Linked DNA regions of Mus musculus. The protein of the gene in region 1 interacts with the protein of each later gene in a pairwise test. Links are inferred from orthologs where the notes say so. Each region holds a gene or a part of one and is shown on either strand. Other genes may lie near its edges.

Region 1 (7,129 bases):
CCAGAAAGACTTCCTGTTCAGAACAGTAAGTAGCTATTTAGACTAGTTTAAACCAAATGTCTCCTGATAAAGTAAGTCACTAGCAAGTAAGTATGGGGTGTGGGGGAGGGAGCATGGAGCATACACCTATAACCTTAGCATAGAAAGCCAAGGCAGGAGGATTACCACAAGTTTGAGACCAGCCTGGACTATATACCAAGACAGGAGCACACTTATTGCTCAGTCAGGTTGTCCCAGAGTCGTCTACCGTGATGTCATGGATTCCAGTCCCCAAGCCATGTCCCTGGAGAGAGTACAAAGGCTTTGGAAGTGAAGAAATCACCATCAGAGAACTAGAGGCCGGACCCGATCCCTAGCCCCTTGGGCACTGTCTCAAAGCTGGGGGGCAAGAATGTTCTTAGCATCTCTGAGCTGCCGTTTTTTCTGACAGGCAAACTACCAAGGGGGTGAACATGGCGTCCAGCCTTACAGGGGTGTCTCAAGTTTACTTTAAATGAGTTGCGGAGCAAATGTTAGGTTCAATTAGGATTAGCCAGCACGGTTTCAGTAACGAGCCAGAAAGAAAGATAGGACTGTGGGAAGCATCCTGGAAACCAACAGACACCCCCACCCCCACCCCACCCCCAAAAGACCTAAAAAACTACTCCTGTGGAGGCCACCTCCCTCTGAGTGCTCCCACAGCCCTCGGGGGCTGGTTTCAACCTGGAAAAGATGTCCTGCATCACAGCACCTGCAAGCCAGACACCTGCCTTACCCCATTTTTGCTGCCAGCAACTGGGGTCACAGGCTATGGCCTAGTAACAGAATGTGTTCGTGGCAGTGACCTCAGGAGTCTGGGATGCAGAACACTTGCCATTTGCTGTTGGTCACCTTTCAGCAGTTTTGCTTGAAATGTGTTCAGACTTCACAGACAACACAACACAAATAAAACTCTGGAGTTCAGAAGCTCAAATCATGGCTAAAAGCATGGGATTGTCAGAGTGATATTCTGTCTGAAAACTCTTTCATTCAGAGAAAACCTGCATTTTCTCTTCTCTCTTCCAGCACCCATGGATGGGTAGCCGAAACCCGCTTGGCTCATCTGCACACTCAGATTGCTTGGTCTCTATTTCTGTTCTCAAGTTTCTCCATGGTTTTGGCCCTTCTGCCTCCTCTAGCATATTGAGAGACCCTTGTGATTACTGTGCCCTCTGGATATCCCAGGCTACCCTTGAGTTCAAGTCCCCTAATCACATTTGCCATGTTAGACACCACGCACAGGTTCCTGGACTTAGTAAGTGCACACACATCTTTTCCATTTTGCTTCCCATACAGTGACTGGGATCATAAGGAAGCTGTGGCATGCTCTGTCATTATCTTTCCTTAGCAGATAAGAGACCCAGGGACGGAGAGGTTATGTAACCTGTCCGGGTCACCTGGAGAATAAGTTGCAGATCCCAGAACCAAGGTTCTCTCTGGTTGCAAAGCCTCCTGGGATGGGAGCAGCCTGGAATCCCAGCCACTCCCTGAACTGGTAGACAGATTCCAAGCTGGTTTCTAGGGAGTTGGGGAGTTTCCTAGGGAGATGGGCAGAGTACATTCCTGCCCTGGGTCCCAAATGCAGAGACCTGGGCGCAAGGTCCATCCTTGCCTCTAAGGCTGAGAGATAAAGGACACAGCAAATTCCTTCCACTCTCAACAGGCCCTTATCTAGAAGGAAGTTCATGGTAGAACCTCAAATAGATGGTCTCAAAAGTTCCTCTTAGCTTGAAAACTCACTTTCCATAATGGGATTTTAGAGATGATCTGTGGTTTTTGTTTGTTTGTTTGTTTTGTTTTGTTTTGTTTTGTTTTTAGATATTCTCATATAGCCCAGGCTGACTTCAAACTTGCTATATGGGCAAGGCTGTGGTTTTGAACTCTCAACCCTCTGACCTTCCAAGTGCAAAAACTGGCCACCGTACTCAGCCCACTCTACACAGCTACCCAGCTCTCCCATCCTGGCAAGTGAGCCTAGGCCCTCACCACTCTGGGAAGACATATCGTCACTGAACTACATGACCCCTTTTAGTGGTCATGGTATATGGTGAGGTTTTCTCTGGAAGGGAGGCTGAATAACAGCATCTACACATAACAAAAACATTGGCAACTGGGGCTGGAGAGATGGCTCAGCGGTTTAAGACCACTAGCTGCTCTTCCAGAGGTCCTGAGTTCAATTCCCAGAAACCATATGGTGGCTCACAACCATCTGTAAAGGAATCTGATTCCATCTTCTGGTGTGTCTGAAGACAGAGCGCTCATGTACCTAAGATAAGGAAGAAAGGAAGGGAGGGAAGGAGGGAGGGAGACAAGGAAGGAGCTAACAACTCCATGTTGGCCTCTGTCATTTCTTCTGAAGCATCAGAGGGGTCTTCATCCTCAGCTTGGGGATATGAGCCTGTCTGCATCTCACTCAGGCTGACACCTCAGTTGTTTTTGGATTTAGGGTTGGGAGGCTGGCTAAACATGTGGCATCTGGAAAGACAAATCCCCAAACCTGGGGGACCAGGGTGAGGTGAAAGGGGGAACCCCTTGGAAAGCAAAAAAAAAACTTTGGGGTGGGGCTGTGAGTGAAGGAGCCCACAATTCCTCCCTCCCTCCCTTGTTCCAGGCTCAGAGGGCACTAGCAACACAGAGGAGTCCAGGAGTGGGCTCCATGAGACTATCTTGAAGAAGACATACACCTCGGGATGGTGCAACTGCCTTACCCCTGGGGACCCCTGGAGTCTGCAGCCACCCCCTGCTGCCCCCACCTGAACCCTTGATCCCAGCTCGGCAGCCCCCGCAGTTTCCTGTTTGCCCACTCTGTTTGCCCAGCCTCAGGAACAGAGCTGATCCTTGAACTCTAAGTTCCACATCGCCAGCAAAAGTAAGCAGTGGCAGGGCCAGGCTGAGCTTATCAGTCTCCCAGCCCAGCCCCTGCCCACACACATATATAGACCAGGGAAGAAGAGCTGGACACCCAGACTGTCGGAGAGCTCCGGGGAGGTAAGTGCTGCTACCTGCCTTCGGTGGCTCTGGCTCCATAGCGCCTCCCAGTTGATGCTCCACTGTCCAAATCAATACCGTGGATATCTCGCACCTTTAGCCATTCTAGCCAATGCTTCCATGGGCTTGAATTGTGTGTGGAGCCTTTCCATGACAATGCCTCCCTTCAGCCCAGCCCTCCTCCTCCTTCTTCTTCTTCAGGTCACCCACACCCTTCAGGATGAAAGCTGTGGTGCTGGCCGTGGCTCTGGTCTTCCTGACAGGTAGGTGCCTCTTGACCTGCGTGGGACTACCTTCCTGGGCACAGAGAACAGAATTCCCACTGTTCTCTTCCCTGACTCCGAGTCTAACCTAACATGGGTCTCCCCTCCATCCCCAGGGAGCCAGGCTTGGCACGTATGGCAGCAAGATGAACCCCAGTCCCAATGGGACAAAGTGAAGGATTTCGCTAATGTGTATGTGGATGCGGTCAAAGACAGCGGCAGAGACTATGTGTCCCAGTTTGAATCCTCCTCCTTGGGCCAACAGCTGAAGTAAGGAAAGACCTAGCGTGGGGCCTGGAGCAGGTCAAGGGCTGCCCATCCAGGGTGGGCAGAGAGACCAGTGAGAAGATGCTGGAACTGAGCTGGCTAGCCCTTCACGGGCTTTCCTACCAGCTGGGCACCATGGCAGGTTCCAGTGGAGGACTAGGGATGGGATTCATCTGGCTGTTGGGTAACCACAGCCCCTCATTCAGCCTATGAGTGCCAAATCCCTTTTCCTTGGTAACCCCCAGTACTGGTCAGACAGCACCCAAAACAAAACAAAACAAAACAAAAAACAAAAAACGGGACTGGCCTTGTAACCAGCACCGACCACATCTGTGTTCTTGGTGCCTTCCGCCATGTGTACAGAGGAATGTAAAGGGAAGGCAGTGAGTTAGAGGGTTGCATGTTCGGGGAAACTAGGACCATAGCAACTGCACATTAGGGGACAGGTGGCACCCAGCTATCATGTGCATGGATCTGCAGACCAGGGGCAGCGCATGATGCCTGGGCTCGTCTCTCAGCCGCTCTCTTCCCCCTCTAGCCTGAATCTCCTGGAAAACTGGGACACTCTGGGTTCAACCGTTAGTCAGCTGCAGGAACGGCTGGGCCCATTGACTCGGGACTTCTGGGATAACCTGGAGAAAGAAACAGATTGGGTGAGACAGGAGATGAACAAGGACCTAGAGGAAGTGAAACAGAAGGTGCAGCCCTACCTGGACGAATTCCAGAAGAAATGGAAAGAGGATGTGGAGCTCTACCGCCAGAAGGTGGCGCCTCTGGGCGCCGAGCTGCAGGAGAGCGCGCGCCAGAAGCTGCAGGAGCTGCAAGGGAGACTGTCCCCTGTGGCTGAGGAATTTCGCGACCGCATGCGCACACACGTAGACTCTCTGCGCACACAGCTAGCGCCCCACAGCGAACAGATGCGCGAGAGCCTGGCCCAGCGCCTGGCTGAGCTCAAGAGCAACCCTACCTTGAACGAGTACCACACCAGGGCCAAAACCCACCTGAAGACACTTGGCGAGAAAGCCAGACCTGCGCTGGAGGACCTGCGCCATAGTCTGATGCCCATGCTGGAGACGCTTAAGACCCAAGTCCAGAGTGTGATCGACAAGGCCAGCGAGACTCTGACTGCCCAGTGAGGTGCCCGCTTCCACTCCCCACCCCCGCATTGGCTTTCTTACAATAAACCTTTCCAAAATGGAATAGCTTCTTTCTTTGGGGGACATAGGGCGGGCGCTAAGGGGACATCAAGGGACGTGAGAACATGGTGCCGCACTGGGGATTCCTTTGTACGCGACTACTCAGCTCTTAACGCTCACTCAAGCTGGGCACCTGGCTGGTTCAGGGTATGAGACAGAATCCCTTCCTAAGAAGGCTCCAAGGGAAATGGATGGCCAGGCAAAGCAACAAGGAACCCCAAAAGGGCCCCACAGAGGCTCAGAACACTAGTGCTGTAAACCAGGATGAGAGTGTCTGGCAATAGGACTGGCTTTGAGACCGCTGGTTTCTTGTGCTAGCCGAGTTTCCAGGTGGGGTCCAGAGGGTGCAGGACGGGAGCCTCTTCCACTCCCTAGAGCCAGGATTCCTTCAGGAGCCAGGAAGATTGGAGTTATTGGGTGGGTGCTAATAAAAAGCCTGGAGCTGAACCCGATCTCGGTAAACAATTCCCTTTGATCTTTCCCTCCGGTGCACCCACACAGTGTGCTGAAAGGGTCAAGGCTGCAGCTACTCTACCTGACAGTTGGATACAAAAACAAACAAACAAACAAACACCCCTCTCCATGATGCTGGTGACCACACATTTACTAGAGAGGCCTTCATATCCATCTCTAAATCCTGAAGGATGGCCTTTAAGTCCACACCAGTTGGGGAAGCTGAGCTGGGAGGTCTGAAGTTAGTCACTGCAGAAAAGGTGGGTCAGGATGTGCCGTTCCATTTTAAAACAAAACAAAAACAAAACAAACAAACAAAAAAACCCCTTTTATTACATGGGGCTGGTAAGGTGGCTTATCAGGTAGAGGCACTTTCGGAAGTCTGAGAACCTGAGTTCAGTGCTTAGAAGACACACACACACACACACACCCCACAAATATAAATAAAGGTATATAAAATATTTAAATTTTTATTAGACTTATTTAGTGTGTGTGTGTGTGTGAGTGTGTGTGTGTGTGAGTGTGTGTGTGTGTGTTTTCACGTGCCACAGAACATGTGTGGAGATTAGAGGACAATTTGCAGGTATCTGTTCTCTTTTCCACCATATAGGTCCCAAAGATCAAAAACTCAGGTCACCAGGATTAGTGTAGCGAGCGTCTCTACTAGCTAAGCCATCTTGCCAGTTCTTGTTTGTATTTATCTACTAGCTAAGCCATCTTGCCAGTCCTTGTTTGTATTTATTTTATTTGGAGACAGTGTCTCCACTAGCCCAGGCTAGACTCAGATGAGCTCTGATCTTTCTGCCCCATCTCCCAAGTGCTGGGGGTTTCAAGGATGGTCCACCACTGTTACTCTGTGCTGAGACAAACCCAGAGCTCTGTGCATGCAAGGCAAGCCCTCTACCACCTGAGCTGCCTGCCAAGCCCAGACTGTTCATTGTATAGACTTGCCCGCTATGGAGTGTAACCAAGCACTCATGTTCACAGGGTTGAGGATGTCTGCAGAAGCACTCTCACACCAACAGCCTTCCTCTCATCTGCCCCTCTTCATGCCTGTGTTGGTATGCAGGTGGTCTCCATCCATCCCCGGTGTATCTTCATGAGCCCCTGGCTGAAGGGGTGAGTTTTTAAATCCACAATCATGCAGAGCCACAGCAGACATTAAACCAGGTTTGGGTAGGAAAGTTTCCCGGTGTGGACAATGAGACTTCTGGCTCTTGGTGGACAGGAAGAGAAACCCCTATTGGATTTCCAGAGAGAACATAGTCCAGTCTGCTGGCTGTGCCAATGCAGTCTGGAAAGGAGCTTCCAACACCTGGCAGAGGCTTTTCCGGTGCCAGCAACGTGGAAAATGGAAAGCTGGCCCTGCAGTGTGTTTTCTCCTGATCCGGGGCAGCCACTGGCACTCTCTGAACATTAGTCTTTTACTCTATAATGTGCAAGACCTGTTTTGTGACACTGGGTCTCTTTGAAGTGAGTGTTTGGGGGTGGCAGGAACTTAGCAAGCAGCCCTTTTGGGATTCTGAGGACACTGGGTCTCCATTCCAGTCTAGAAGGTCACCTAGTTTAGCTATCACAGTGAGGACTGTTTACAAGGGGTGTGCGCATGCGGCACCTCATGCTTTTAGACACTACCATTTCATTTCTACAACAAACCTTCAGGGGAGGGGCAGGTCCTACCCACTTTATTCATAAGAAATGGAAGCCGCTACACTGCAGTGGGGTTGAGACTTATCCGACCACCCTCCCAATCTGCCTCCTTCCTTTCCGCCTGTTTAAAGGGGCCAGGCAGCCTGGGCTGTGCAAACCAGCTGCACGGGGTTGGTGATCATATCTGACCTTAAGCCTGGAGATGACATAAGACTGCTAGCTAGACAGATACTACACTCCAGCCACGTCGTCCACGTTGTCCTGCCCTTGACAGGTTTATCACAGATTGTAACT
Region 2 (7,880 bases), on another chromosome or scaffold:
GCAACATAAAAGAACAAGTGATCTACCACTGAGCCACGCCCACAGCCCCTCACTGGGGGATTCTAGGCAGGGGCTCTACCACTGAGCCACCCGCAGCCCCTCACTGGGGAATCATATCTACCACTGAGTCACGCCCCTCCAGCCCCTCACTACGGGAATTCTAGTCAGTAGCTCTACCACTGAGCCACACCCACAGCCTCTGGGGCTCTTCACCGCCCCCTACCCCTGGATTCTAGGCATGGGCTCATTTTATTTATTTATTTATTTAAGATTTGTTTATCTTATGTATAAGGTACACTGCAGCTGTCTTCAGGCGTCAGGTCCCATTACAGATGGTTGTGAGCCACCATGTGGTTGCTGGGAATTGAACTCAGGACTTATAGAAGAGTAGTCAGTGCTCTTAACTGCTGAGCCATCTCTCCAGCACCCAGTACAGGCTCTTCTATTTAGCTATATCCACCCTTCTTTTTAGTCTGAAATAGGATCTCAACTGATTTTCCTTGCACTCCCTCTAGCCTAGTTTGGTCTTGAATATTTGAATCTTTGTTTTCAAATCAATCTCTACAGGAACTGAGAAAGGCATGTACCACTTCATGTGGGTCAGTTGGGCTACTTTTCCCAACTTCCCAAGCACCCACTGCACAGCTATGCCTTGAATCAATCAACATGTAAGAGACCAGGGTCGCCAGGCGGTGTTTACTTTTCTGGTTGTCTTATCTCTCCTCCTCCGCTCTAGTCTTATCTGACACCCTCTCCTTGCCTTGTCTCTCCTCTTTTTCCCTTCTAGGCTTCCTTTTCTGGCTTCCTGTTTTCCTGATCCTCTGTTATCTCACCCTCCCGCGGTTTCTTTTGCTCTGGGCCTTTGGTTGGCGGTTTCTACGGTTTCTACGTGGCTTTTGGAACCTCAGCCTTTCTCCCTTGCTCTGAAGTTAGCTGGATCTTTGCTCCCTCTGGGTCATGGGGCCTTAGCCCCATTCTTTCTCCCCTGCCTGTGCTGCATGCCTTTTGACTTTCCCAGCAAGTGTATGGAGAGTGAGTTCAGGCTGGGGACACAAAACCATTCTCCCCATGTCCTGGTACTCAAAGGGGTCATGGTGGAAGCTGGAGAGCCCCTGGCTGGCTTCTCCTCCCACCCCCTCAGTTCTCAGGGACTCAGCAGGGCTCCCACTAACAGGGGCAGGCTAGGGCTTGAGCTGTGTCTTGGGTCGGGCCAAGGCTTCAGAACTCAACTGCCTCTGGCACACCCCGAGCCTGCAGCTTTTCCTGGCATCAAACTCAGCATTATCTGGAGGCAGGCACCACTCCCACACATGACTCATTAGGCCCAATGAGAAGATGGGTCGGTGGGCTAGTGACAGGGCCCTAGACAGCCACACTTCATGCCCAGGGGCTAGGAGCACACCCCCAGAGCCTCACTACTCTCAAATATCAAGATGAGGGGAGAGTATAGAGGGAATGTCTCCCTCTGAAGACCTGAATTATTGTGATGTTATTTGAGCCACGCTGGCCTTGAACTCTGAACCCTCCTGCCTCATCTTCAAAGGCTGGAATTACAGGTTCGCGCCACTAGGCCTATCTGAGAACTTAGTTAATTCTACAGAAGAGAGTTTGTTTTCACTGGTTTGAAACGAGGCCTCGTGTACCCAGAGCTACTCTTTTGCCAACTCACTGTAGAGCCAAGGATGACCTTGAACTCTGGTCTTCCTGGCTCCGAGTCCTCGGTACTGGGTAGACAATGTGTGATCCTAACCCCCAGTTTTATGTGGTGCTATACAGATGGCATCCAGGGTTTCCTGCATGCTGGACAGGTCATCAACCAACCGAGCCACATCCTCCTCATCATCATCACTTTGTTGTTGGTTTTCAATCCAGAGCTCATGGAGCCCAAGCTGGCCTCAATCTATATAACCAAGACTGTGCCTGGTCTTCCTGTCTCTACCTAACAAATGATGGTGGGATGCAGGGATGTACAACCAGGAGCAGAGCCTTACTTCTAAACGAAGAAGGAACCCCACCTCCCTGTGGGCAGACCTGGAGGTGGGGCAAGGACCACAGAAAGACATTACAGAACTAGGATCGTGAAGGAAGTCATGGAGGCCAGCCTGTTGTACAGAGTGAGTTCCAGGACAGCCAGGGCTACACAGAGGAAAACAAGAAGGAAAAAAAAAAAAAAAAAAAGAACTGAATGACTAGCAGTTTTAGAACCTTAGCTGTGTGCTTCCCGTACCCTACCTGTGGCACAGGAAGCCCTTGTTGCTAAGAGTAGGATGACACTGGAAGCACCAAGCACTGGGCAGAGTAAGGGGGAAATCTGTTACATTATTCAGATGGGCGCTTGAGGACTGAGCAGGACTCCTTTCAAGAAGCAAAAGGGTCAGGCCTGGTGCCCACAGGGACTGGAAGCTAGCTAGCGCCGAGTTGGCCCCAGAGATGTCGCAACCCAGCCAGGGTCGAGAATCTGTTCCACCCCTTTCACAACCATCCCCCTGTTGTCGTCGTCCCCACCCCCACCCCCGCCCCAACTGACACGTGGGTTGCAGGGGCACCAGGCCAGCCAACCTAGAGTCTGGGCCCCTTAGCCACCAGCTGCCAGGGGGTCACTGTCGGTCAATGACAGCTCTGGGGGAGGGGGGGAGAAGGGCCTTGGACTCTAGCCTGAGAGAAAGGATGTTGTGGAAGGAGGGGGCAGGGAGGCAAGTTTAGGGCCTGCAGGGGCCTAGGAGGCCCCACAAGACCTAAAAACGGGGGAAGGGGGGTTGTGCCAGTTAGGGGACACTATGGAGCTCTGCAAGCTAAGAGGCTCTTAGCTTCTTTGCAGTTTTGACTAGCTGAAGAGGCAACTTCTAAGGAAGGGAGATGAGGGGATGCCAAGATCCCAGAGAGCATCCGAGGAGGTCTGAGGGTGTGCAGATGCAAAGGCATTGGAGGTGAAGGGAGCCAGGGTGCAGCATCCGGGACAGAATGTGAGCTGAGGCTCCTGGTCAAGGAGAAGGTAGAGAAGAGCTAACCTGAGGATGCAGTGTGAGCTAGGGGTGAGATGGGGGTGAGGGGAGTTGTTTGTAAGACCCCCCCCCTTAAGGTGGGACAGCCTCAGAGAGAGAGTGAGTAGGCAGAGCAGCCAAGGCTGGGTGGAGATCAATGAGATTTGGAAGTGAGGATGCTGACCAGTGACGAGCCTTGGGCCTAAATAAAAAGCCTGGATGTGGGATCTGCCTCCCAGTATCGACCAGAATGACAGAAGAGAGTGGGCTGGTTGTGTTGGTGTTGGTGCATGCCTGTAATCCCAGCAACTCACTAGAGAGGCAGAGGCAGGAGCATCACAAATTCCAGGCCAGCCAAAAAGCCTATGTAAAAAAAAAAAAAAGAGAAAAAAGAAAAAAGAAAAAGTAGGTGGACACAGAGACAAGGGGGAGGCTCAGGGGGAGGGCGACCAGCTTGCTCCGCCCCCTCCCCAACCGGTTAAACCTCTGTGCAGGATCCTCCCACCGCCATGGGCCTCCTGAGAGATCCTTAGATCCAGGTTAGTGCATAGGAAAGTGTCCCCCCACTACCTACAGCTAAGGGATTGGGGTGGTGGGATCATGGTGGAGGGCGGTGGTGAATACTAGCGATGTCCCCCGCTACCCGTGCGTCTGCCTCCAGGGTGCCCCTCCAACCAGGATGAGGCTCTTCATCGCTCTTCCTGTCCTGATTGTGGTCGTAGCCATGACCTTGGAAGGTAAGAAAGAGCCTTGGAAGGTAAGAAAGAGGCTTGGAAGTGTGAAGTTGGCCTTGTGCCTGCGGCCCAGGCTTAGAAGACCCTCGAGGAGGGCTCTGAGGTCCCTTTCTGTGTCATCATTCCACTACCGCCCTCCCATCGTCCCCCATCCCACCTGCCAGGTGCCTTATTTTTGTGTCAAAGTGGGTGCTGAAGGAGGCAACTCTGTCCAGAAAAGACGCAGTAACCAATGACCTAGGATACCACCCTTTGGAATTGGCTAATCTTCCTAGAAGGGGCGGAGCGTAAAAACAAGGAGGTGAGAGGTGCAGTAAAATCAAGTGTCCAATACCCTCCCCCATGCTAATGAGTTTGCTCGCAACCCTCTCGCGGCAGGCCCAGCCCCCGCCCAGGCGGCCCCGGATTTGTCCGGAACATTGGAGAGCATACCGGATAAACTGAAGGAGTTTGGGAACACTTTGGAAGACAAGGCCCGGGCAGCCATTGAACATATCAAACAGAAGGAAATTTTGACCAAGACCCGGTTAGGACCTTTCAGGGCACGGGCGGGTGGTGTGTGTGTGTGTGCGTGCGCGCGCGCCCGTGTGTAAAAGCCCTAGCAGACAGTTCCACACTGACACAATGGGGAAACTGCACCAGAGTGTTTGACACTTTCCCTGAAGTCATAGAACTGTATCTGAAGTCATTGAACTGGATGTCAAAGTGCTCGTAGTGTGGAGACAGGCGGTGTAACTCCCAGCCAACTGTTAGAGATGTTTCCAAGTCCTAGTGAAGGGCCAAGCTAGGCGGCTGACTGGTTAGGACAGACCCTGACCCCTCCCTGTGTACTCTTGAGACAGGTCATGACTTGAGTCTCCGAGACAGAGAAAGAATGTAGGAGAGTTGGGGCAGGGGCACAGCAGAAGCTGTACAGGCCTGGGCTCTGCAGTTTACACTGGCCAAAGAGAGATTAGGGCATGCTGGGTTAAGAACTAGCCAGGCAGTGGTGGCGCACACCTTTGATCCCAGTATTCATGAGGCAGAGGCAGGCAGATCTCTTTGAGGCCAGCCTGATTGGAGCTAGTTCTAGGAAAGCCAGGGCTACACAGAGAAACCCTGTCTCAACACCACCACCACCCCCCAAAAAAAAGGGCCCAGCAAAGAACAGAAATAGGAGTTTGAGACCAGCCTGGGCTATAGGCAAGGTTCTGCCTCAAATTGAAAACAACAACAAAAAGCAGGAGGTGAAGACACCTGAGAGACACCTGGTATGCTGTAAACAGGTTGGCTAGCCAGTTTGGCAAGTAGACAAATCGTTCATTTAAAGTGAGGTCTGAGTTTGATTACAAATATCCAGCCAGGCCTAAACTTGGCAAAGGAAGTTTCCTTTGGAGGGAAAGTGCAAAGGCCCTGGGGTGGGAAGATCTGTAGATAAGAGAGAATGGCCTTCTAGACTCGGGGGAGAACTTGGGCCAAGGACACAGGCCAGAGTGAGCGGCAACAGCTTGGGCAAGCACAGGCTAAAGAAGGGGTGGGCGGGAAGCAAGAGATGGCAAGCCTTGTGGGGTGTAGCTGCACATGTTTTTAATCCCAGCGAAAAATAAAAACAAACAAGATTAAAAAAAAAAAAAAAAAGATAAGAAGATGGAAGGAAACCAGGGGAAGACCAGGGGAAATGCCAGTGCGGATCTGGTTGATCCCAGAATCCACATCTTTTTGTTTGTTTGTTTCGAGACAGGGTTTCTCTGTATAGCCCTGGCTGTCCTGGAACTCACTCTGTAGACCAGGCTGGCCTCGAACTCAGAAATCCACCCGCCTCTGCCTCCCAAGTGCTGGGATCAAAGGCGTGCGCCACCACTGCCCAGCAGAACTCACATTTTTAAAAATCAGTCATAGGGTTCAGTTAAGAGCACTTGCTGCTCCTGCAGAGGACCAGCAGCCTGTGCCCCTACCCCACCACACACACACACACACACACACACACACACACACACACCTATGTCAGCACAGCTCACAGCAGCCCTGTAACTCCAGCTCCAAGGGATCCAATCCCCTCTACTGGAACTGCAGGCACTGGAGCACAAATACATGAACAAAATAAAGCTTTAAGGGAATGTATAAATGCCAGACAGTGGTGGCACTCGCCTTTAACCCCAGCACTCCAGAGGCAGAGGCAGGCAGGTCTCTGAGTTCCAGGATACAGAGCTAGTTAGAGTGCAGACATTTCACCCTACCATGGGAAGGACAGACAGATGGGACCCTGGGTCAGGTGATGGGAAAGAGAGACATATGGAACCCTGGCAGCCAGTTGGCTAGGCTAGGAGGTTGCCCTTTGTTCTCTGTAGTTACCTGCTAGCCACCTCTCACACAGTGGCTGGCTTTGAAAGCCAGGTCAAGATGAAGTTCTTTGAGTTTTGGTTTCACGATGCTCTGATCTGGGCTGGGGATGTGGCTCAGTACTTGCCTTGTGTGCACAAAGCCCACGGTACCCCATTGATTTGGGAGGTGCAGGCAGTAAGATTGGAAGTTCAAGGTCTTCATTCTTAGCTACATATCAAGATTGAGGCTAGCCTGGGCTACATGAGACCCTGTCCCAAAACACCCACACAAATTCTCTGGTCTGTGTGAGGGAACTGAGGCAGAAACAATGACACCCCCACCCCCACCCCAGGGTTTTCATCCCACAGACAGGATGAGGAGAGATAAGGAAAGGAACCGGAGGGGAATGGGATGCAGAGCTCTAGGTCCCTCGGAGGGTCCAGTAAGCACTGACTCGGCCCCGTCTCTCTCCAAAGGGCCTGGTTCTCAGAGGCATTTGGCAAAGTGAAGGAGAAGTTGAAGACCACGTTCTCCTGAGCACCTGGCGGGCCACCTCGAAGCATCAAGGACATCCACGTAATGTGCCAGGTCCCTCTTCATCACAGACCAATAAAAAACGTGTAGAAGGCAAACGCTCCCTGAAGTGCTTTGGACTGGGGTGGGGGCTGAGGGATGATGCAGAGACTGGGTGTGTCCCTTCGCTTGTTGTTGGTTTATGTATTTTTATGTGTGAGGGTGTTTTGCCTGCATGTGCATTTATGTGCACCTCGTGTGTACAGTACCCACAGAAGCCAGAAGAAGGCCTTACTTCTCCTGAAACTGGAGAAGGTCCTGAGCTGCCATGTGGGTGTTGGGAATGGAACCTGGGTCCACTGGAAGAACAACAGCCAGGGCTCTTAAGCGCTTTGACATCTCTCCGGCCCCCCCACCCCTGTCTGCATACTTTTCACGTTACGGTTCCCCAAAGAACCTTGAGAACCCTATTCACGTCAAACATTGAGGCTCAAAGCAGGAAAGCTCTTGGTGCAAGGCACCCAGTCAGCCGGCAGGGAGTAGGGTTGAATGCATAGCCTGCAGTGATGCATAGCTTGCACTCTCCTGTTTAGTGTGATCCAGATGAGGCTGGATTGGACTTTCCAGTGCAGAGAGTAGACACTCATTAAACTGCAAGTGGATGATGCAGAGGACTAGGAAGCAGGGTGGACAGGACGGGCATAGGAGGGAACCAGAAAGGAGGTACTCATCTACAGATCACCATGTCCCCTTCTCCAGAATGCCCTTCCAGTCACCTACAGATCACCATGTCCCCTTCTCCAGAATGCCCTTCCAGTCTGGCTTCTCCATTGCAGCTTTGCCAGCTCTCACTACTTAACTTCTTGAAGCTGTTACCATGAGCCCCCAGATGACGGGGCCAAGATTGGTGTCACCAGTGGGTCTATACCCATTGCCCAGTTTCAGCTGACCACAGTGCCAGTGTTGAATAATATTTGCTCAAACCAATAACTGCTTAATTTGTTTGCTTTGGTTTTTTTTTTTTTTTTTGGTTTTTTTGTTTGTTTGTTTGGTTGGTTTTGGTTTTTTTGTTTTTTTGTTTTTTTGTTTTTTTTTTTGAGAAGGGGTTTCAATAATTGGCTCTGAATAGCTTTGTAGGCCAGGCAAGTCTCACACCAGAGCTTCCTGCTGCGGCCTTCTCAGTTTCCAAAGGGTTGTGACTAGGTATGTGCCACCATGCTGGGCCTAGTCGTCTTTTCTCTTCGTTATTGTTTAGTTATTAAGACAGGGTTTCTCAGGGTAGCCCTGGATGTCCCAGAACTCCCCAATAAGCCAGGCTGGCCTACACCATATGCCTCTGCCGCCTCCGGAG

What was found.
Region 2: the proteins of Apoa1 (region 1) and Apoc1 interact in a two-hybrid assay, tested with the Homo sapiens proteins (2 studies listed by BioGRID, with this or other methods). The link is inferred for Mus musculus from reciprocal best matches to the Homo sapiens genes APOA1 and APOC1.

Annotation. Positions count from the first base shown.
Region 1 is NC_000075.6:46,225,731-46,232,859, forward strand, and holds Apoa1 (apolipoprotein A-I preproprotein), read left to right. Parts: upstream 1-2,899; 5' UTR 2,900-3,006; intron 3,007-3,207; 5' UTR 3,208-3,226; coding exon 3,227-3,269; intron 3,270-3,385; coding exon 3,386-3,539; intron 3,540-4,074; coding exon 4,075-4,672; 3' UTR 4,673-4,739; downstream 4,740-7,129. UniProt on the Homo sapiens protein: Participates in the reverse transport of cholesterol from tissues to the liver for excretion by promoting cholesterol efflux from tissues and by acting as a cofactor for the lecithin cholesterol acyltransferase (LCAT).
Region 2 is NC_000073.6:19,688,249-19,696,128, reverse strand, and holds Apoc1 (apolipoprotein C-I precursor), read left to right. Parts: upstream 1-3,469; 5' UTR 3,470-3,520; exon of another isoform or gene 3,521-3,642; 5' UTR 3,643-3,660; coding exon 3,661-3,718; intron 3,719-4,093; coding exon 4,094-4,241; intron 4,242-6,492; coding exon 6,493-6,553; 3' UTR 6,554-6,649; downstream 6,650-7,880. UniProt on the Homo sapiens protein: Inhibitor of lipoprotein binding to the low density lipoprotein (LDL) receptor, LDL receptor-related protein, and very low density lipoprotein (VLDL) receptor.